Linked DNA regions of Danio rerio. The protein of the gene in region 2 purifies or fractionates together with the protein of the main gene of each other region. This does not show direct contact. Links are inferred from orthologs where the notes say so. Each region holds a gene or a part of one and is shown on either strand. Other genes may lie near its edges.

Region 1 (7,609 bases), on a different chromosome or scaffold from region 2:
TTGCTAGTGACTAACATTAATCAATCTTAATAACATATGTAAACAGGGATTGAGCAACTGTTTTGTGGATATTACCTTTGTTTTTAAACACGGACATCCCAGAAAAAGTTTTATATTTCATGCACTTCTTCATACCTCTAATTAGTAATTTAGAGTTGTCAAGTTTCAGAATGTAGTAAGTCGAGTTAACCTTCAATTTTTTTGGCATATTTACAAGGTTAATTTTTTTTGTCCGTTTTTCACAATTTTTTCTGATCATTCAGATGGCCTTGAAGAAGCTTTAATACATTAAATGTAAAAAGCAATATAAATCTAAAGCATTTCTGTCATTTTTTAAATCATAAAATGTGTTCGGGGATTGTTTTAGCCACCTCAAAAATGAAAATTCTGTCATTTACACACCTTTATGTTGGTAAAAAAACAAACAAACTGTATGTCGTTATCTAGAATGGATGATATTTTGAGAAATGTTTTATTGTTTTGTTTTTTATATACTATAAAAGCTAAAGGGATCTAATATTGTTTTGATTCTAATGTTCTTAAATATAATATAATATAATGTAATATAATATAATATAATATAATATAATATAATATAATATAATATAATATAATATAACATAACATAACATAATAATATAAAATAATAGAATAGAATAGAATATTTTTTTGAAAAATAAAGAAAAACATACTATTAAGAAATGACTTAAGGGTGAATTATTGACGCCAAATTAATAATTTTTAAGCAGACAATTGTATGAAATGTAAATGTGAAAGTAATTTTAGCAGTCTTACGAGTCAGATTCATCAGAACTGGACTCTGCTCTCGACTGTTCGGCTTTCCATCGCTTGTATTTGTCGATGAGCTCCGTCAGGTAGGATGTTTTCTTCGCAAAGCGCACAATGAGCTTGTGTTTGAGCAACTCTTTGGCTGTCGGTCTCTGAGGAAGAAGACAGAAAGACACAGAAACCATCACGACAGGTCCTATGAAACAAAACCTCATTGCTAATGCCTGATTCAACAGTACCTCAAGGATTTTAAAATGATCTTTTTTATTTTTATTTTTTAGTTTTGCAATACTTGCAGCAAATTTTACACCACTTCTATTATTGCTTTGAGGTGAAAATATATACAAACTTACTCCTCTTAATTTTTTGACCTCAAGAAAATTGATCTCTTTAATTTATATAAAGGAAAACTAGAGGTTACCCATAAATCCTGCTGTATCATATTTAAAAATGAAACCAGTTGTTTGAAGTGTCATCCATGTTGTTTGACCGATATGACAGTTGATGGAAATTATGCAGAGAATGCATGCTTATGTGTGTGTACGTGAGAGAGAAAAAGAGAGAGGGCTACGCTTATGACGATTATATACAATAAATAGAAGTTTATGAATCCGCTTTGCCATAACGTCACATGACGCAGATCACACATCAAAGGAAGAGTGTGTATGTGACAACTCAAGGCTTTACACAGCACACAAGCACATTGTGTTCGCAAATACTGTTTTCGTTTTCTTTTTGTACTTTTTTATTTATTGGTATTTAACAAGACCATGCACGGTGCAGAATACGAAATTATAGAGCGTCTTAGTTTAAACCGACTCTTACTTTCCCATAAAACTAGATATTATAATACATATACTTCAGAATAATTAAGAAATGACAGAAACCAATCATACCTTCCCACTACTATACAAAAAAAGAATTAAAACATTCACACAATTACTTCATGTTGTCCCAACACAAACCGATCAATTTAACTTAATTGATTAAACTAATTTAAGTGGATTGAACGTAAAAAAAATTAAGTTGTCCCCCAAAAAAAACTCAAGAATTGTGATGTTTCAGTTTGTTTTAAATAAGTTGTTTGAACAAGCAGCAAAATTTACTTTGTGTAACGTTTTTCAATGTACAACTATGCAGATTGCGCACTGTGGTGTGACAGGAATTCAAACACTGTGCTGACCGCTCAAAATAAGAGAAATCTACGACTATGTTGTGAAATTTTGTGACATTTTGCGTTAAATTCAGAATTCGCTGGGATCGCGAAATCCTGGAGGGTCTGTTTCAGGAACAAATATAGCACATGTCTAAATGAAAATGACCTCAGCAGCAAAAACAGAACAAATTGTTTTGCCAGAAAGATCAGTGAACGAGTTAAAAAGGATATGGAAAATGACCTCTGGGAGTCCCCAAAAAACATACTCACAAAACTGGGCTCTTTGTTTAGACAGGCCTCCACAAACTCTTTGAGCGGTTTGCAGTAGTTGCCCTCCAGTGTGGGGGGGTTGTTCTTTGGAATGAGGAACAGCACCTTCATTGGATGTAGGTCGGAGTGGGGGGGCTCTCCTTTAGCCAGCTCAATCGCCGTGATGCCCAATGACCAAATATCAGCCTGAGAACAAACACAACGTTTTCATGACCAGGGCCCGGATGCATGTTAAAGACCCCATGAAATAAAAAAAAGTTGTTTTTTTAGGTGTTAGTATTAGTATTGCTAGTTTTTAGGATATCTATAAGCTAGTGCGCAGTTAATCAGTGACAAAATTCGTGTTTAGAAGATACAAAACTGACATATACATGTAAAGCTTGTAGTTCGTCACTTCTGCCTAAATGAATCAACGGATTTATTCATGTTACCTCATACTTTAGTTTCTTATTAAATCTTGACCAATCAAATGATCTCTAGTATCTGACATGCCCCGCCCCCTTCAAGACGCTTCTCATTTGCTTTTCATTTGATCAGCTTGATCCCAACCACTTTCACTGGCAGCGCTGTGATGAAAACAAAATGCTATTGGCTGTTTTTTTTTATAAAAGGGAGGAGCTACCCCATGTCTCAGTCCCACCCTCTCTCTTTATGTGTCAGTTGAGATTACATCAAACATCGAATAAAATTGCACATTTTAAAGCACTTCACGGGTTCTCTAAGGACTTTCATGCAACCAGACCCAGTCCACTTCCAAGTCACTTGATGAAATCACATCACAATGATTCACTTGGGGAAAAATCTAACAAGTAGTCACGATCAACAGCAGATCCAGACGTCTGGTGCAGTGACTGATCTGCAGCACAGCCCTTGACTTTTGTTCAGTGGCTCTCACCTTTGAATCATAAGCGGACTGTTTGATGACCTCAGGTGCCATCCAGAAGGGTGTGCCCACGAAAGTGTTCCGCTTGATCTGTGTGTCCGTGAGCTGACCGGCCACACCGAAATCTGCCAGCTTCACCTCCCCTTGCTCCGACAATAATACATTTGCGGCTAAAAAAAAGAAATGAGAAAAGACAGTGTGAGGGAGAGTGTATGATAACTTCAGAAATGCAACATTTATGTCAAACTGGGGCCCCAAATGGGGTGCATAGAAAATAGGGGTGTAACGGATCACGGTTTATCACTGTTTGTTTAGCCTGCAATTATGCATTCAGTGTAAAGCTGCAAGATTAAACATTTAAAGATCGTGATCTCAATTCAACCCCACGCAACATGTATGATAAATGGTGATGATTTGCATGTTTGTTCCTTCGAAAGGGCTGCATTCAAATCTGTGTTTGATCGAGAGAGATACTGTTCTTACCCTTTTTCAGTTCGTTACAAAATTAAATAACACAATAGTACTGAGAGAACAGTTTATAGTTCAGATATAAACACACTGATGTTTATGGTAAAGATAAAAATCACAGTTTGATGGAACTTGACGCTAGTGAATGTTGTAGCAATTACACTCTGTTACCACCGGGTGGCGATAAACAACCTTTAAAACTATAGCACTGAATAGGTTTCCAAAAATGATAACCTGCATATGGCTATTTATTTAAATGGATAACATCGTATGTTATCAACTTATTGTATTATTGTACACATTTGCTTTACTAAAAAAAATGTAATATATTTTTATGTCGTTTTAATTTGATGTTTTTCCCTTCACAGTATTAATCATTTAAAAAAATTACAACTGTAAAGTTGTAAAATCTGATACATGCAAATAATACAGCCACTAGGGATGTAACGATTCATTGTGAGCAGGTTAAAAATTTATTCAAATATGGGACGATTGAAACCGGTTAAAATGTTAAAAGAATCGCAATACATATTTGAACATAGGGGGCGCTGTGTTATAATATAATATAAATGGAAAGCAAATGACATTTGTCCCTTTTTTTGCTGATCCGAAAAATGGTTCAATCAGTGACTCAAAAACCGTAGTGTAAATAAAATTAAATAATTGGTGATTCAAACCAGTAGAAATGTTGAACAAATCGCGATACATTTTTTCTAACAGAGGGGGCACTTTGTTATAATATAATATAAATGGAAAGCAAATGACATTTCTTCAACTTAGAATTATAAGGTTCTATCTGCGTTCTGAATGATTTTGAGATATTGAGCTTCAAAGTTTTTGCATTTCATAGCAAACAGTAAGTGTGTAACATTGTTTTTTTTAAATTAAAAAATGTTCAAATGTAAACAACTTATTTACATTATGGGATGTTTTTTTATAAGAATATGTCAATAACTCAATTTTGTTAAAAATGTCAGATAGAGCCTTATAATTCTAAGGTGACTATTTGGGTCTCTAAACCGAAAACAATTCAGTGACTCAAAATCCGCAGTGTAAATCGATTTAAATATGCAACGATTTAAACCGGAAATGTTGAACGAATCGTGATACATTTTTTGAAGAGAGGGGGCGCTGTGTTAAAATATAATATAAATGGAAAGCAAATGACGTGTGTCTGCTTTTTTGCTGAACCGAAAAATAGTATGATTCATAACTCAAAAAACGTAATGTAAATAGATTTAAATATGTGACAATTCAAACCGATAGAAATGTTGAACGAATCCCAATACATTTTTTAAACAGAGGGGGCGCTGTGTTATAATATAAATGGAAAGCAAATGACATGTGTGTCTCCTTTTATGCTGAACTGAAAAATAGTCCAATACATGGCTCGAAAACCGTAGTGTAAATCGATTTAAATATGTGACAATTCAAAACGGTAGAAATGTTGAACAGGAAAATTTAAACCCTAGTCCCATGCACATACACTGTAGAAAGAAAAAGAGGAAGACAAACACTGTAGCAATTTCCAGTTGAATCATGTCACGAAGACGCTGTGCTCTGAAGTGTGAGGGAAAGTTTCTCTACCCAAAGATGAGGCTGTGAAAAGTGAGTGGCTGAAGATTATTTTTGCAAGAATACCTCAGCATTATAGCCCCAGCCCTGTGCATTTTTCTAACGAGTGCTTTAGCAGTCTACACCCTTACAACGGGGGATTCATCAGCCGTTGGTTAAAGGAAGGATCCGAAAAGACTATTGATGTGTGGGACTTTGTCAGAGCTTGAAAGGAACTTTACAGTACACAGTTCATGGATCGGTTTCTTTTTTTTTTTTTTCAGATTGTTGGTTTAGTGTTTCAACTTTCAAGATTCATTTGTGTTTGTTTGTTTTCTCTCTAGTTCTTACTGTGATTCATGACACTATATTGTGTAATAGTTCTAAGGTATGTGACCAATAAATGAATCGTGAACCATCAGTAAAAGAGTCAATCATCTTTTAACCAGGATACTACAGTACACATTTGCTTTACTAATATATATATATATATATATATATATATATATATATATATATATATATATATATATATATATATATATATATATATATATATATATATATATATAAATAAAATATATATATATATATATATATATATATATATATATATATATATATAAAATAAATAAATATATATATATATATATAAATAAATATATATATATATATATATATATATATATATATATATATAAATAAATATATATATATATATATATAAATAAATATATATATATATATATATATATATATATATATATATATATATGAATGAATGAATAAATGAATGAATGAATGAATGAATATATATATATATATATATATATATATATATATATATATATATATATATATATATATATTTATATATATATATTAGTAAAGCAAATGTGTACTGTAGTATCCTGGTTAAAAGATGATTGACTCTTTTACTGATGGTTCACGATTTTACGAACTTTACATTTTAAAATCTGATATATGCAAATAATAAAGTCACATAACAGATTACAAACAAATCATAGAAGCTGAATAACACCAAGGCAAATATCTGGTGTCAAAATATGTCTGAATAAATTAAATCTTCTTCTGTCTATCTGGACCAACAAACATTCAAGTCACAGCAGATATGTGCTTTTTCATTGGACTCTGAATAAAACTGACCGACCAGTAAGATTTGGTTGCACAGATCTGCTAATGTTACATAAAACCGCAACTTCAAAGTGCTCCATTTTGCTAAGCGACAGTAAACGGCAGTGGAAGAATCCATAATTGGCTCTCATCTCTGTGCTCTTGCATTTCCCGTTATTTGATCACGGTGAAATTAAATAAAATCTGAACGGCTGTATGAAAAGATGTAAATACTGTTAGTGCTCATTTCTAAACGATGCAGGTGACAGATCTGACTGTTGAACAGTACTTTGTGTAGCACAGAATCTAGCATAACAGCTGTATTTATTATGTAGTTTTTTACGCGTTGTTATAAGTAAACTAATCAAGTGCAAACTGGATATCATTCTTATGTTGAACAAGTGTTTGTAAACATGTCTCAATAACCTTGCTATCAAAATCTAAAAAATGCTCTAAAGTAGCTTTATTATGCTTTGTAAACCTTCAGCTTCCTATGAGCTTGAAAAGGTTACAAAGCATATCACAATGTCCACTCTAAACTGGGCTTACTTTTACATGTGAACCATGCTAGCAAAATGAGCAGAAAACATGCCGACTATAAGCTAAGATCAAAATAAAAAAAATATGTCAACTGTGGTAGTTGTTTTTACAAAAAAAATAAAAATAACTAAGCCCCTATAAAATCCTTTATATTTGCACGTCTTCTGACAGTGTGCAACATGCACTTTTGAATAAATTAAGCATCACAGTCTGGTTCTTGTTCAAACACTAAAAATAAACATGAGAAATCTACACAAATTTATGGAATTCACTAGATGTTTTGAGAAAATTTTTACTGCATAAGTTCATTAAAAACAATCTGAATTTGAAGCGCATCACATACAGATGGCTAAATTCTGAACCCACTACTACGGTAGACGGGAAGTGCAAAACAACATTACAAAGTGTGAAACACTTTTACAAAGCTCGAGACAAATTTACATTTTGAAAAACGTTTTACCTATCATCAGACACAATTACATAGGAAAAACAATTTTACCAAGGATGAAACAAATTTACATTTTAGAAAAAAAAATTAACAAGACGCAAAACAATTTTACAAGTCTCAAAACAAATTTACAATTACAGATTCCTTACGCAAAGGGAATGTACCACACAGCGGAAGTGGCGTAGAATGTGTTAACATGTTGTTATCTCTCTACTTTGTTGACCTCTAAGAAGGTTATCCGGGTTACAAATGAGAGAGCGCGCAGGGGCGGGGTTGGTGTTGGGAAAAGTTCAGTTGAAGATGTCTCGTGTGTGCGAGGAGGGATTGAACAAAATAAAGTGTGCTTACTAAATAAACGTTGTCTTTA
Region 2 (7,609 bases):
CTGTAATTTTAACAGTCACTGATAAACTGACTGAAATAAAACACGTGATATATGTACAGGGTTCTTACACCTTTTCCAACTTCATGTGCATTGCTATTCAAAATTCCTGTAACAACAACTTAAATCCCTAATGTAGAATATAATATTCTTGCTGCAAATTAATGAACTGTTCCTATGTCAACTGTTTGGAAACCATAATTTGTCATCTTTCATCAATATTACTTTATTCAAAATATCTTATATCTTATATTTAGTATTTTTACAGGCATTGCAGGCTTTGTTTACTGCTGCAAGTTGACATGTCAACTGTTTTAAACTATTCCTGAGCACTGCGTTTGGCGTTTTTATGTGCAAATATGCATTCTGTGTGAACCTAAATCTCCTAAATCTGGTAAACAAATTTCGAGCCCTGCAATTTCAAATTCAAGCACTTTTAAAAGTCACTATTAAAAAACACTATTAAAAATCAAGCATTTTCCAAGATTTCCAGAACCCGTACGAACCCTGTAAGTAGTTGGAGTGGTTTATTAACTCGCCCTCGCCCCATTTGCAATATTATTCTACAGCGACATAGTGCATAGGCCAAATCATTTTGACACCCTTAGCGGTGTCAGTTTAGTGTATGCTTCAAACTATTATTTAAAGAAAAAAGCATGAATAAATCTAATATGACATGATAATCTTTTTTTATTTTGATAATTGTTTTTCATAGTCGGTGGAGGCCAAAATCAAAAGTGAAACTTTCTTAATTGAACAGATCTACTTCCTTATTGCTTCTAGTCTTTAGAAAGTTTTTTTTTCATGGCTCTATTTGACGTCATTGATGTTTTAAAGAGTTTTACCATTTTTTAATCCATTTAGCTGATTTCTGGGTCTGCTGGGAGCCCTTTTAGAGTAGCTTAGCATAGATCATTGAATTGGATTAGACCGTAAGCATCTCACTTAAAATTGACTGAAGAGTTTTGATAATTTTGCAATTCAAACCTTGATTTTTTTCTGTAGTTCTATCATGGACTAAGATTAACAGAAAAAAAAAAATCATTTTTTTTTAGCCTTTTATAACCAAGGACTATACTCTCATTCTGTTGTAATAATCAAAGAGCTGCCATACTTTGGCTCCAGCAGACACAATGACATTATGCAGCACCTGAAAATAGTCCCCATCTAGGTAACTTCCAACATGATCACCTACCTAATTTTCTTCCTTCAAAACACTGCATTTCCATTGGTCAAAGTTGCTGGAGTAGTGTGGATGCTACTTGTAATCATAACAAAACTTATGCGTCATAAGACTTTTATTACAAACATACTCTAGTGTAATGCCTAGTTCAGACTGTGTGATTTCAGCCCCGATTTTGGCTCGCCGACAGGTTTTGAGAAATCGCAGACAAATGCCTGAAATCACAGGCAAATCGGTGCTGTGAGTGACAATCACACAGTATGAACTATCAAAGACGCAATCTGAAAGAATCGCCGATGAGTCGCCGATGCCTGTGAGATATTTGGCGTGCTGAATATCTGGAGCTGTCTGCGAATCAAATCATTCCGTGTGAATTGAGTTTTTACTGAAAATAACATCAGCGATCGCCTACAGCCAATGAGAGAGCGGCATTCACTTGTGTGTGCGTGTGTGTACCTGCAGCAGGCCAGCGGGAGGCTGGGGGAGAAGTTAAAAGCGCTCTTTTTCGGTTTATTTGGACCCACGAAATGGAGGAAAAACTAGTTGAGGTTTGACAGGACTCAGGAGCAACCGTGTCTGTTTGACGTTTCATACAGAAAGAAATTAGTTTATTATCAACGTTGAGGAGAAATGGCTAATTCCCTTCAAACCCAGGTGAGCAAATATGTACATTTTCTACCCCATTAAAGGCTTCTTTCTCATTATGTAGTTAATAACAAAAGATATACTACTGTGAGACGTAGTTTGAATGAAGTTGTCGGCGATTCTTCCTATAGTAAAGTCATGCAATGTGAAAACCCCTGTCACCGATCCATCTTGCAGTGTAAACAAAGCAGCGACGAAACGCTAGCCCAGCAGTGTGAAAACATCTGTGATACGACTACTTTGAAAATCATGCAATCCTGATTGGTCAACCAATTACAGACAACTGAGCCATCTGGACAATCTGAGTAGAGAAAGTTCTCAGTAAGGCGAGGATCTTTGAACCAATGAAAATGAGTCGATATTGCAATGGATACTATAAGAAAATGTTTGACCCTGGCCTGAATGGATGTAAACCCACTGTAGGAGAGCTAGAAAACTAAATTAGAAACCTTTAAAATAGCAAAACAGAGCTGTTACCTCAAGCTGTGCCAGTCGCTCTTTCACAGAGCAATAGTGCTGGTCATCCATCTGTACGGCTTGACGCATTACTTGACCCATTTCACAGATCCGTCCCAACTGGCTTTGAACCTCCTGGAAAAAAACCAGACTTATTTTAGGTTCATTTTGCTTGATTTACGTATGAACACAAAGACAATTTGAAATAAAACAGTTCATAAAACACAACCGGTGAGTTCCCAACTTCTTTCATTTCTCCATAGAGCAACTGTTTTCGAGGAATAAACCTTTAAAATCAGACTTGTTATTGGTTGTTAATTGATGGAACGTTTTTCTTGAAACGATCTCTTTGTTTTATTTCAGTTTATACCTAGATTTAGCCAATTGTGAATTTGCCAAAGCCACAGTTGTGTACTTAGGAAAAAAGGTAGGTCAGGGACATGTGTGTCCAGTTGATGCAAAACAGTTAGTGTCCCCACTAACTGATCTTTTGAGCACTGAAAGAGTTTTTGTGTGGTCTGCTTTATGTGATCAGGCTTTTCGAGCAGCAAAAGATTTGCTGTGTAACGCTCCTATTCTTTCAGCACCGGACTTGGAGCGTCCCTTTAAATTGGAAGTGGATGCTTCTGCTACTGGGGCTGGAGCAGTTCTGGTTCAGGAAAGTGCTATTTCTCAAAAAAGTTGCATGTCAACGCAGATATAGTACGATCGAAAAGGAGGCTTTAGCACTGCTTTTAGCATTGCAACATTTTGGGGTTTACTTGGGTGGAAGTTCGTTCCCAATTTGTGTGTATTCGTGTGCACCCATCATAATCCTCTTGTTTTTTTTAGGATGCACAATTCAAACCAGCGATTAATGAGATGGTCTTTGGATGTCCAGGAATTTAATTTGGATATACGGCACAAGAAAGGTTTGCAAAATGTGGTTGCAGATGCGCTGTCCAGAGTTTATGGTGCTGAAGTTGAGGTTTGAGTTAGGTGGGTAGATACAAACTGCTTGTTTGCATCTTTTTGGTGGGAAGGTGTTACGAGTAGTTGTTGTGGTGGTGTAGTGTGTGTGTGTGTGTGTGTGTGTGTGTGCGTGTGTGTGTGTGTGGTGTTTCTCTCTCTCTCTCTCTCTCTCTCTCATTTCGAAGTATTGGCAGGTGAAGCGGATTACGTCAGATCCTGGTTGGCGGTGGCTGTATTTCTTATTTAAACCTCAGAGAGCATTGATTCAGCAGCTCCCCGCTCTCTCTCTCTCTCTCTCTCTCTCTATTCCCCGCTTGTTATTCTCTGTGTAGATATTATTGCTTGAGTGATAAATATGAGTGTTTGTTGCTGATGTCTCTTATATGGCATTTTTGTGAGATAGCAATGTGAAGTTGTACATTCTAATTGGAGAAACCCGGGTTTTCTGTCTCCCTGTCTGGCTTGGAGCATGGTAGGGAGGTTTGATGGCTTCTATTTATTATTTTCGTTTTCTCCTGTGTTGTAAGTAGGGAGTTAAATTTTCTGTATTTTATTTTCTTATTTATTTCCAGGGAAGTTTTCTCTAATTTAGTTAGTTTGGTTTATTGTCATTTATTTTGGCTGAACCCCACCTGATGTTATTTTTGCTTCTTATTTTCTGTAAATAAATAATATTTTCTTGTTAATTCTCAGTGGTTGTGTTTTTGGTTTATTTTTTGGTGGGGAGAGAGCGCGAGGGCACCAGGGAGTATATTTTTAATCCCTGTTATCTTGCAATGTTTTGCTTAAACCTCTTTATGATTAAGGATTTTTAATTTAATTTGTAACAATATGCTCCAAATAAAATTCTACCAATCAGAGAGTTGCAAACAAGCAAAAGGTGTCCAAACAGTTTAGCTCCACCCATTTTAGGAAGCATTAACAATCATGCAATTAAGTTCATCTTCCGTCACTCTCAGAATATATAAACAACTAACTATATGTGCATAACTTATATGCATAGTTTCCTACAGACATTATATAAGAAGCCAACAAAACTTTTAAAAAGAGCGAAGTCTCCAAACATTTAAAAACACCAACAGACTGGCACCTTGGCATGATTCTGGTGAAGACTGAGCACAGGTTTGGTGTCCAGCTCTTTCTTCTCCATCATCATCTGCAGCATCTGCTTGCGGTATCGGCCCATGATCAGCTCCAAGGCGTACTGGTGCTCCTCCAGAGAGAGCCAGAGCTCTGTGAACAGCATAAACACACTTCAGTCAGCCATTCACCTTACAAAAGCAGAGACGCTGTGAAGAAGTCTTGCCTCTGTTCTCCTGCTGGAGCTCTTTGATTTGGGTGTTCTCCTGGCTCAGCAGGACGTGAGGCTTGTATCTGGACAGCTCTTGATACTCGGTGTTCTCCTCCATGTACTAAACACAGGAAAACACAGGAACTTCATATTGGGTCGTTGTTCTTTTATTTAATGTGTTGTAGCATATGTTTTCATCTAACGGCAAGTCGGCATCTCGGGCTATTTTCAGGATAAAAACAATTCAGAAAAACTATATCAAATATGATAAAACAAGTTATATTTCTACAAAAATAAAAAGTGGGACAGTCCAATAAGATATGTTTTACAGACAGAGCAATCTTGCAAAACATGCATATCTTCATTTGGTGGTGGTGTCATGCAAATCACTGACAACAATTCTGGGGTGTGTTTCTGAAAACCATCGTTAGCCAACTAAGCTCTCAAGTTCTGTCATTACAAACATAGTTCCTTGATTTGGCGTTTCCCAAATCCATCACTCCAACGAACATTCGTAACCTGCGTTGCAAACTTGTACACTTGAAGCTGCACCTTTAAAGCTGTAGTTAGAAGCACAGTTCCTGGCTGTGTTCTATTCCCAGTTATCCCCCTATGCCCTATTCATTTAGAACATTCCAACATTAAAAATTGGAACGATTTAAAAATAAAAAAAAACATTAAAGGTGCAGTAGGTGATCTTCCACAATGATAACAGCTTAGCATAAATCCCTGAATCACAGTCCCTCCTCTGCCGTCTGTGTTAAATGCGACTAGTGCTTGTTCGCTGGCGTGCAAGCCAAACTGACATGCTATTTAAGAGCGAATATTTAAAGATGCATGGCAAACAATATAGGACGAGACTAGGCGGAAATGCGCTATTTACTTGTGTTTTGTTGTTAAACTAATTAAAATCTACATTATCGGTGCAGGGCGAGGCAGTGGCGCAGTGGGTAGCACGTTCGCCTCACAGCAAGAAGGTCGCTGGTTCGAACCTCGGCTCAGTTGGCGGTTCTGTGTGGAGTTTGCATGTTCTCCCTGCCTTCGCGTGGGTTTCCTCCGGGTGCTCTGGTTTCCCCCACAGTCCAAAGACATGTGGTACAGGTGAATTGGGTTGGCTAAATTGTCCGTAGTGTATGAGAGTGTGTGTGGATGTTTCCCAGAGATGGGTTGCAGCTGGAAGGGTATCCGCTGTGTAAAAACTTGCTGGATAAGTTGGTGATTCATTCCGCTGTGGCGACCCCAGATTAATAAAGGGACCAAGCCGACAAGAAAATGAATGAATGAATGAATGAAAAAATTTGCTCTCCATTAAATAAAAATTGGGGAACAAAATAAACAGGGGGACTAATAATAATTTAGGGGGTCTAATAATTCTGACTTCAACTGTGTGTGTGTGTGTGTGTGTGTGTGTGTATCTATATCTATCTCTCTCTAAATATATTTTTTATTTATTTATTTTTTTCCTAATCGAGAAAATAAATCAGGATCGGGTTAATTCACAACGAATAAATCAAATTTATCAAAATTATCGACAGTTGCAAACATTTTAATCAGCTGAAATTTCAGTTTCACATCAAAACTATGCAAAGCATTTATTCTAGACTTATTCAACTCAATTCAAGTCCAAATTTAAACTCTCAAGAATTTATCAAGTTTTTATTTCCACTAATTTAACTTTTTATGATATTCGAGACTGTTTTAATGTTTGTCAACAGTACATGTTTATAATATAATCTTATCAGTCATAACGCATATAGAATGAGATGTCAGAGCAATTTATAACATTGCATTGGATTTCAAAAATTTTGTTCAGCTATTTTTATTATTATTATTATTATTATTATTTAAATCACATTTCTAAAAAATTTTGAAATATTATTTGAAAAAGAAAATATTTTCTTGTATTTTGAGAAGCACAAACTCAGTTTTGAAATTAACAAGATGTCTAATTTTGCTTCTTAGGTAAACAGATCTTGATGTTTAGATATTTCTACTAAAAGAAAGTAGCAGCGTAATTACAACAAGTTAGATCCTTGCCACAGATAATTTTTGCAGGTAGGGGTTAAAGTCCCTGGCATCTGGCTGAGATCAATACCTTTTACGTAATTAGAGCTGTAAAGCTTAACTTTTCGATTCCAGGTGAAAAATCAAATCTGTTGGAGACATCCAATCGATTAATAGGTACCAAAAAGGGTCCACGGGGAGAGGGGAGAGGATCACCAGAATGGTGAGTCCCAGAGTAAAATAAGTCCCAGAGTAAAATGAGAAAATATGATACACCAGTATTTTGGAATATGGAAAAACTTTACGCTGTTTTCATCTGTTTTTATATTATTTGTTTTTTATTTCATTCATACTCGTCTCTTTTATTCCTGTTTATGTAAAGCACTTTGAATTGCCACTGTGTATGAAATGTGCTATATAAATAAACTTGCCTCGCCTTCAAAAACACTAAGATATTAAGGAAAAATAACTTCTTCACTAAAAGCTTCATTCTGTGCAACAGCAAGCAGGTCATTTTGTGCAATCTACATGCAGCAACACATGCACACAACTAGAAATCATCCGGCACATGCACCTAAGTGTCATATACAGTTGAAGTCAAAAACTATCCATTTCCCACCGTTGCTTAAAAATGTTAGTATGTTAAACATCATTTGGAAAATATTTAGAAAAAGAAATTAAAATTCACTGGAGGGCTGTTAATTGAACTGTATATGAGCTGTGTATGCGGTCAGTAATAGATATCTTATCATGCCTTGTCAGGGAGAGTGTTTCCGACCTCCTTCATGCTGTGGATCTTCTGTCCGAGGACGCTGGACTGCTCGATGAGGCTCTCAGCCGCGGTGTCGTGCTCTTTGAGCCGCTCCAGAAGCGTCCGCGCATCGCCCAAAACCTTCTCCAGCGAACATGACATTCTCACCGGGTTCAGTAAGTCCAGAACCAGAGCTTCACCTCCACAAACACACACACACACACACTCACTCACTCACTCACTCTGTGAAAACACACTCAAACTGCAGTCCTCAACGAGTCTGTCTGGGGCATAACAGTACAGTTAGACAGATTTATAAAATGTATTACTC
Region 3 (7,609 bases), on a different chromosome or scaffold from region 2:
TCACGAGAAGTGCCATGGGATTTTTAATGACAGAGAGTCAGGACCTCGGTTTAACGTCTCATCCGAAAGACGGCGCCCACTGACAGTCTAGCGTCCCCTTCACTTTTACTGGGGCATTAGGACTCACACAGACCACAGGTTGAGCACCCCCTGCTGGCCTCACTAACACCACTTCCAACAGCAACCTAGTGTTCCCTAGTGGTCTCCCATCCAGGTACTGACCAGGCTCAGCCCTGCTTAGCTTCAGTGAGTAACCGGTCTTGGGCTGCAGGGTGACATGGCTGTGGCTATATAAATAATTCATTTGCGTTTTGTTCTAGCGTTGTGGGCCAACAAGAAGAGCTTGAAGGTGGGGCAAGCATTGCGGGCTTTGTTTAGTGCAGCAAGTTGACATGTCAACTGTTTTAAACCATTTTTGAGCACTGCGTTTGGTGTTTTTAGGTACAAAGATTCCAAATGCATGAATTCCTCCTAAAGGCTAATTTATACTTCTGCGTCAACCGTACGCTATGGCGCAGCCTACGCAAGGACGCATCACCCTCGCTGTGACCGTCGGCAACGCTGACGCACACCTCTCAAAAAATGTAACTATGCGTCACAATTACGCGTAGCGCAAGCTCTGTGATTGGTCTGCTTGGTAGCAATGACGAGTGTGGGCGGAGTTGAGAGCCGCGCAAGCTTGATGCAGCAAGTGATGATTAGAGTTGTTGCAGATCCGCCGAATCCAGCCTCAAAATGAGCGAGTTTGAGCCACTTGCACATTTTAGGAAGCCTTCATAAAAAACTAAACACCAACAAAGAAACTCGACACAGAGAAACAAACACCTACTACCAGCTAGCATTTCGGAAGTGTTATTGCAGAGAAGCACATGCAGCGTGCTGAAGTATAAATGCATGGCTACATGACGTACACACCAATCACTTGACGCAGATGTATAAACCAGGCTTAAATCCTTGCATATGGTGAACATTTTGCTGTGAAAACTGGTCGCACGACAACAATTTTATGCACTTGTGCGAATGCTCCCAAAAATATTTTTAGGTTGCATAAATAAAATTTCAGGCGCATATGCGATATAAGACATTCCCCAATGTGAAAAAGTTTATCTGACGTGGTCAAAGACAAAAGTGACGCATGTGGTGGTCAGGAGGATAGTGAGAGAGGTAAAACAGGATCACCACCAAGACTGTCTTGATGAATCTGGGCTCTGATGGCAACATCTCAAGGCAGACCGTCCAATGGACTCTGCATATCAAAGAGGACTCTACTTCTCTAGAGAAGGCACACAAAGCCTATTTGGCCTTTGCAAATGCTCATTTGGACAAAGAAGACTTCTGGTGTTCTTTTTTGTGATCATTCATTGATTTTCTTTTTGGCTTAGTCCCTTTATTAATCGGGGAATGAACCCCCAACTTATCCCGCTTATGTTTTACGCAGCAGATGCCAATTCCAGCTGCAACCCATCACTGGAAAACACCCATACACTCTTATTCACACACACAGACTATGGACAATTTAGTCTACGCAAGTCGCTTATACCACATGTCTTTGGAAAACCGGAATACCCGGAGCAAACCCACGCAAACATGGGGAGAACATGCAAACTCCACACAGAAATGCCAACTGACCCAGCCAGGACTTGAACCAGTGACCTTCTTGCTGTGGGGTGATTGTGCTACCCACTGTGACGCTGTTTTAAGAACAGATGAAACAAAAACTAAATGGTTGTTTACAAAGATGTAACCTTAATTTGACTTAAAAAAAAAAAGGAGAAGCCGTCAACCTGAAGAACACTATCCCCACTGTCAAACATGGTAGTGGAGACCTTGTTTAGGGCTGTTTTTCAGCCAATGCACCAAGCAAGCTAATCATAGTAAATGACACCTTGAAAAAGGAGCAGTACATCAGAATACCTGAAGGAAGTCTGCAGAGATACTTGTCCTTCGGCACCAGTGGACATTTCAGTTAACAATGACCAAAACACACAGCAAACGTGATGAAGAAATGGTTAACAGACAAAAACATTCATGCTTTGCTGTGGCCCAGCCAAAGTCCTGACTTAAATTCAATTGAGAATCTGTGGAGGGAGCTAAAGATCATGGTGATGGCAAGGATACGCTATAACCTGAAGTGAGTAAAGAAGCTCATCAAGATGAATGGATAAAACTACTAGTCGAGACATGAAAAAGATGATATGCTATAATAGGAAGCGTTTGGTTGCTGTAATGGCCAATAAAGGATTTTCTATTGATTATGGAGAAAAGTATAAATAATTTTGGACTTTTTGTTTAAATGTGAATAAAAGCTGAGCTAAATTAAAATATAGCTATTGTTGTTGAATAATGCTGTCAGTGGTATGTACAGATCTGCTGTGTGAGCTACACTGATGGTGTGGGGGTGTGATTTATATGCTAGAGACGAGTAAAAAACAAGAATATAACTGCAAACCTGTACGCTGCTGCTTTTCACAAATCTTCATTACTGCCTTTTACCTGAAAGCCTACATTAACTACAGCATAAAGCAGCACAGGTTTGTTGTATGCTCATGCTAACGGTTTTGGTTACATAGTCAATCTTTTTTTTTTGTTGAAAACATGATCATTTTACAACTCCACTAGACTTAAAGATTTGAGTTTCATCATTTCTGAATCCATTCAGCTGATCTCAGGTTCAGACAAAAGCACTTTAGCTTAGCTAAGCTTATGTCATTGTATCAGATTAGACCATTAGCATCTCGCTTAACAATGACTAAGGAGTTTAGATAATTTTTCTTTTTATAGTTTGACTTTTCTGTAGTTTGCTGATTCCAGCATTATGGATGTGACATCTGCTGAAAAAAAAAAAAAGAAATTTATATATACTCCGAGAAAGTATATGTCACCAGTATATTGAAATATCTATTTCTTTTTTTCTAATCCCTCAACTGTGGAGTTCAGGCATAAATAAAATCAAACTAGCTTAATAAAACCACTAATTTATCCAGCACAGATTTTGCACAGCGAATGCCCTTCCAGCTGCAACCTCTCTGGGAAACATCTATAAAATTCACACTCATGCACTACGGACAATTTAGCTAACCCAATTCACCTGTACCGCATGTCTTTGGACTGTGGGGGAAACCGTGGCACCCGGAGGATACCCACGCGAACGTAGGGAGAACATGCTGACTCCACTCAGAAATGCCAATTGACCCAGCCGAGGCTCGAACCAGCTTGCTGTGAGGAGACAGCACGATGCACTGCGTTGCCCAGGTTGCACAATTAATCACACACAATTCTCGTTATAGCATATGGATATTATATAATGTAAGTCAGTAATTAATGCAGCATCATAAACCATTGGCACAATCCTTATATTTCATGGATAAACCAAGCAATTTCCTTAAATCAACAAGAGCACATCATAAAAATAAAATATAGACCTTATATATATATATATATATATATATATATATATATATATATATATATATATATAGAGAGAGAGAGCTTATTTAAATTGGTTTTGTTATTTTGGTCAAAAGTTTATTTTTTTCATGAGAAGGTTGACATTTTCATGGAATTGCTCAGTTACATTTCGCAAAAATCTCTGGTTACAAGAGTTTAAGGCACTGCATAATAGTATTGTGCTGCTGCAAGCATGCTACGATTGCAGATTTCGTTGATTATTGCATCAGAATACGAGTTTAGTTCAAGTCATATTGACCTAGAAAATAGCAGTAAATTTTCCATCATTCTTAGTAAGTAATATGGATACAGAGGAGTCATGCTTTAAGGAGGATTGATTAAATTAATTTATTAATTCATTTTCTTTTCGGCTTAGTCCCTTTATTAATCTGGGGTCACCACAGCGAATGAACCGCCAACTTGTTCAGCATATGTTATACACAGCGCATGCCCTTCCAGCTGCAACCAATCACTGGGAAACATCCACACACACTCATTCACACACCTACACTACTGACAATTTAGCCTACTTAATTCACCTATACCCTTTGTTTTTGGTACTGTTGAGAAAACCAGAGCACCCGAAGGAAACCCACGCCAATACGGGGAGAACATGCAAACTCTACACAGAAATGGCAACTGGCCGAGCCAGGGCTCGAACCAGCAACCTTCTTGCTGTGAGGCAAACGTGGAAGCTAAAAGATCTTGTGTCAGACCCAGAAATTGATTCATAAAACTCTAGAGTTTAACACTAGGGGAGTTGTAAAATTAGCGTTCCTTTAATTTTGTAACTATTGTTGGTAGAGCTGTGAACCTACACTAGTCTCACGGTTCGGTTCGGTTACGATTATCATGCCATCGATTCGGTTCAATTCGATATTTCGGTGCATCACGGTGCATTGACGGTGCTTTTCATACACAGTTTTATATTTTCTTCACAGAAGCATTTCTTGTATTAAAATGTATGAATATATTTATATTTATATACTATTTGTAAGACAATTTTGTCATTTAGTACAGTCAGATATATAAACTGTAACTTTAAACAAAACGAGCATTTAGCAAATTATATTAACAAATATAAATATCCAGCTCAATTTCTGATCCTTGTCTAGTTCTCTTACACCAGGCATGTCCAAACTCGGTCCTGTCGTTTCTGTATGCAAAAGTAACGCTGTACAACAGCCGAGAAGAGAAGAAAAGCCATGCCAGCAGGTCAAATGGGCCACTGTGTGTGTGTGTGAGAAAGAGAGAGAGAGAGAAATGGAGTAGGCTACTTTCATTCTCTCCATCTCAGTGAAATAGGGGCTATTGTTGTATATGTCAGTGAAAGACTGATCCAGCAAACACACACAGTGAAAGTGTGCACAGTTTATGAGTTTTAAGTTGTTAAAGCGCTGTAAATACTCGCGATCGCCTCTCTTGCGACAGAGCGCATATGAGGTAAATGACATCAGTAATAACCGGTTATGATTATTACTGAACCGATACCGAATTGTCCGCGTCTGCATCGCAGTGCACCGCAGAAACGATTAATTTTGACACCCCTAATTGTTGTTGGTGTTATGGTGGACTCTAGATGACGATTGAGGCCAATTTGTATGTGTTTTCTCTCTCTTCTCGTCCACAACTTACTGGAAAAGGAATGGTTTGTGGTTCCTCTCCCTTAGTCTCTTTTCCGTCAACATATTTGCCTGTCATGAGTATGGTCAGTGAGAGCCTAAAATAAAGCTTGTGGAATGGCAGGCCTTTAGTTAACCATTGCTCTAAGAATGTCATTGGCGGCTCGATCACAGAAATCCAGAGCTAAACCTGTTATTTGCTGACAGATGTATGAGGTTTGAATCTGAAGCATATTTCCTTCTGTCTGTTTGTCTCAGGCTCAGGTGGCATTTCTGCAGGGTGAAAGGAAAGGTCAGGAGAACATGAAGCAGGATCTGGTGCGGAGAATTAAGATGCTGGAATACGCACTCAAACAGGAGAGGTGAAACCACACACAGACACACACACACAAACTTACACAGATGAGTCTCTGCCGCTCATAGTATAATCACAGAACTCTCCAGATTTTTGTTTTAGTCTGTTTTTGTTTTGATCTGTTGTTTTATTTTTGTTTTGCTTTTCTGTTGTGTTTTTTAGTTTTTTGTTGTTTTTTTTTCATCATTTGAATTGTTGTTCATTTTTGTTGTTGAAGTTTTAGTTTGTTTTATTTTTTTGCTTTAGTTTGTTTTATTTTTTTTTGTTTTGTTTTCAATTGTTTATTTAAAAATGTTGTTTAATTGATCTGTTTTTGTTTTGTTCTTGCGTGTTTTCTTTTTCTTTTTTTGTTTGTTTAATTTATATTGTTTGCTTGTGTTTTTGTTTTGTTCTCTTGCATATTTTCTTTTTAGTTTTTTTCTTTTTCTTTTTGTTTGTTTAATTTTTATTGTTTGTTTGTTGTGTTTTTGTTATGTTTTAGTGCATTTTATTTTACTGTTTTAGTTTGTTTTATGTTTATTATTGTTTGTTTAATTTGTATTTTGTGTGTGTTCTGTTTTTGTTTTGTTCTCTAGTGGTTTGTTTATTTTATTGTTCTTTTTTATATTTTTTGTAGTTTAATTTAGTTTGTCTCATTTTTCTTTTTAGTTTATTTTCTTTTGATTTATTCATTTGTTTCTGTTTTGTTCCCTTGCAGTTGTTTGCTTTTTTGTTTTCTTTCATTTATTTATTTATTTTTCTTTTTTGTTTTTTTGTTTTTGTTTTGTTCCCTTTTTCTTTTTTTATTGTTTGTTTTTTCTTTTTTTATTGTTTGTTTTTTCTCTTGTGTTTTTGTTAATTTTCTTTTTTAAAGTTTGTTATGCTTTATATTTTTTATTTTATTAGATTTTTTGTTTTAGTTTGTTTTATTTTTATTTATTTAAAAAACAGTTTTGTTTTTGTTTTATTTAGTTCCTTTTTTGGATTTTATTTTTATATATATTTTTTTTTCATTTTTCTGTTTTTGTTTTGTTTTCTTCTGGTTTTGTTTGTTTAATTTTTCCTATTTGTTGTTTGTTCTGTTTTTGCTTTGTCCAGTTGTTTTTTGTTTAGCTTTTTATATATTTTTATCTGTTGTGTTTTTATTATTATTATTATTATTATTATTATTATTATTAATAAAATTTTTTAATATTAAATTTTTTTTGTTATTTGACAATTTTGAACTTTAATGTATAAAAAATACAGTGTTATGTCTGCAATGCGGACCAATGGCTCAGTCGACAGTATTATTTTTAATTCCCACTGATATACAAGTTTAGATCTCCAGAAGGAATCTCAAGATCTCAAGAATCTTTTAGCTCCCCTGCTTTTTTACAGTTTGTTTGTGTGTGTTTTTGTTTTGTTTTGGTATGTTTATTTACTTTTTTTTTTTTGCTATTTTTGTCTGTTTCTCATTTCGCTTTTTAGTTTTTATTTTAATTAAATATTGCTTTAAATAATTTTATTACTAATACTTTTATTTTAATTGCCATTGGACAAAACATTTAAAGATCATCTTACTTGGGAGATAAGGCTGACAAATTAATAAAAAAATATAATAAATAATATACAATAAGTATGGAATAAATGTATATTTATATCCATTCTTACAAGTATAGTGTGCTCTACTTCTATAAAAATCCCAATGATTTACAAATTGCTATTTGTACTCTGTTTGGTCCACTTTTCCCTTTCATATTCTCCTTTATATATCCACTTTCTCTATATAATGGCCACAAAATCCTTAAGTATCAATTAAATGTGAACAATTAAAAACATGTGCAATAAATGCTTTTCTCTACTGGTCATTTTGATCACAGGGCCAAACACCAGAAGCTGAAAAGTGGCACTGACCAGAGTCCTGGAGAGAAGAAACCAGAGACAGAAGCTGAACCAAGTAAAAACACAATCAAAGCTATTTAAAACAATCAAATGACAAAATCTGATGGATATTTATCAAAACATAAGAACATAAAGCCAGTAAAACAAACGCTGTATGGTTAGATGTTACAACACTCTTTTTTTCAGTACCCAATGGGCCTGCAAATTCAGACTCTGAACCGACCAATCAGATGCCTTGGAAGGAGGGACGCCAGTTATTGCGCAAGTCTGTGTGTTTTCTGTGCATTCATTCTCAAAAGTGGTTATTATCTTGTGTTGACCC

Evidence for each region. The genes of interacting proteins can lie anywhere in the genome.
Region 1: the proteins of sike1 (region 2) and stk24b purify together in Homo sapiens (affinity purification with mass spectrometry; 4 studies listed by BioGRID and IntAct, with this or other methods). This does not show direct contact. The link is inferred for Danio rerio from reciprocal best matches to the Homo sapiens genes SIKE1 and STK24.
Region 3: the proteins of sike1 (region 2) and strn4 purify together in Homo sapiens (affinity purification with mass spectrometry; 3 studies listed by BioGRID and IntAct, with this or other methods). This does not show direct contact. The link is inferred for Danio rerio from reciprocal best matches to the Homo sapiens genes SIKE1 and STRN4.

The regions. Positions count from the first base shown.
Region 1 is NC_133181.1:13,497,056-13,504,664, reverse strand, and holds part of stk24b (serine/threonine-protein kinase 24), read right to left. Parts: intron 3,269-7,609; coding exon 3,111-3,268; intron 2,402-3,110; coding exon 2,216-2,401; intron 942-2,215; coding exon 796-941; intron 1-795. UniProt on the Homo sapiens protein: Serine/threonine-protein kinase that acts on both serine and threonine residues and promotes apoptosis in response to stress stimuli and caspase activation.
Region 2 is NC_133198.1:43,063,340-43,070,948, forward strand, and holds part of sike1 (suppressor of IKBKE 1), read right to left. Parts: intron 7,563-7,609; 5' UTR 7,441-7,562; coding exon 7,282-7,440; intron 4,645-7,281; coding exon 4,539-4,644; intron 4,466-4,538; coding exon 4,323-4,465; intron 2,417-4,322; coding exon 2,303-2,416; intron 1-2,302.
Region 3 is NC_133190.1:13,759,335-13,766,943, forward strand, and holds part of strn4 (striatin-4), read left to right. Parts: intron 1-5,327; coding exon 5,328-5,431; intron 5,432-7,265; coding exon 7,266-7,342; intron 7,343-7,473; coding exon 7,474-7,552; intron 7,553-7,609. UniProt on the Homo sapiens protein: Calmodulin-binding scaffolding protein which is the center of the striatin-interacting phosphatase and kinase (STRIPAK) complexes.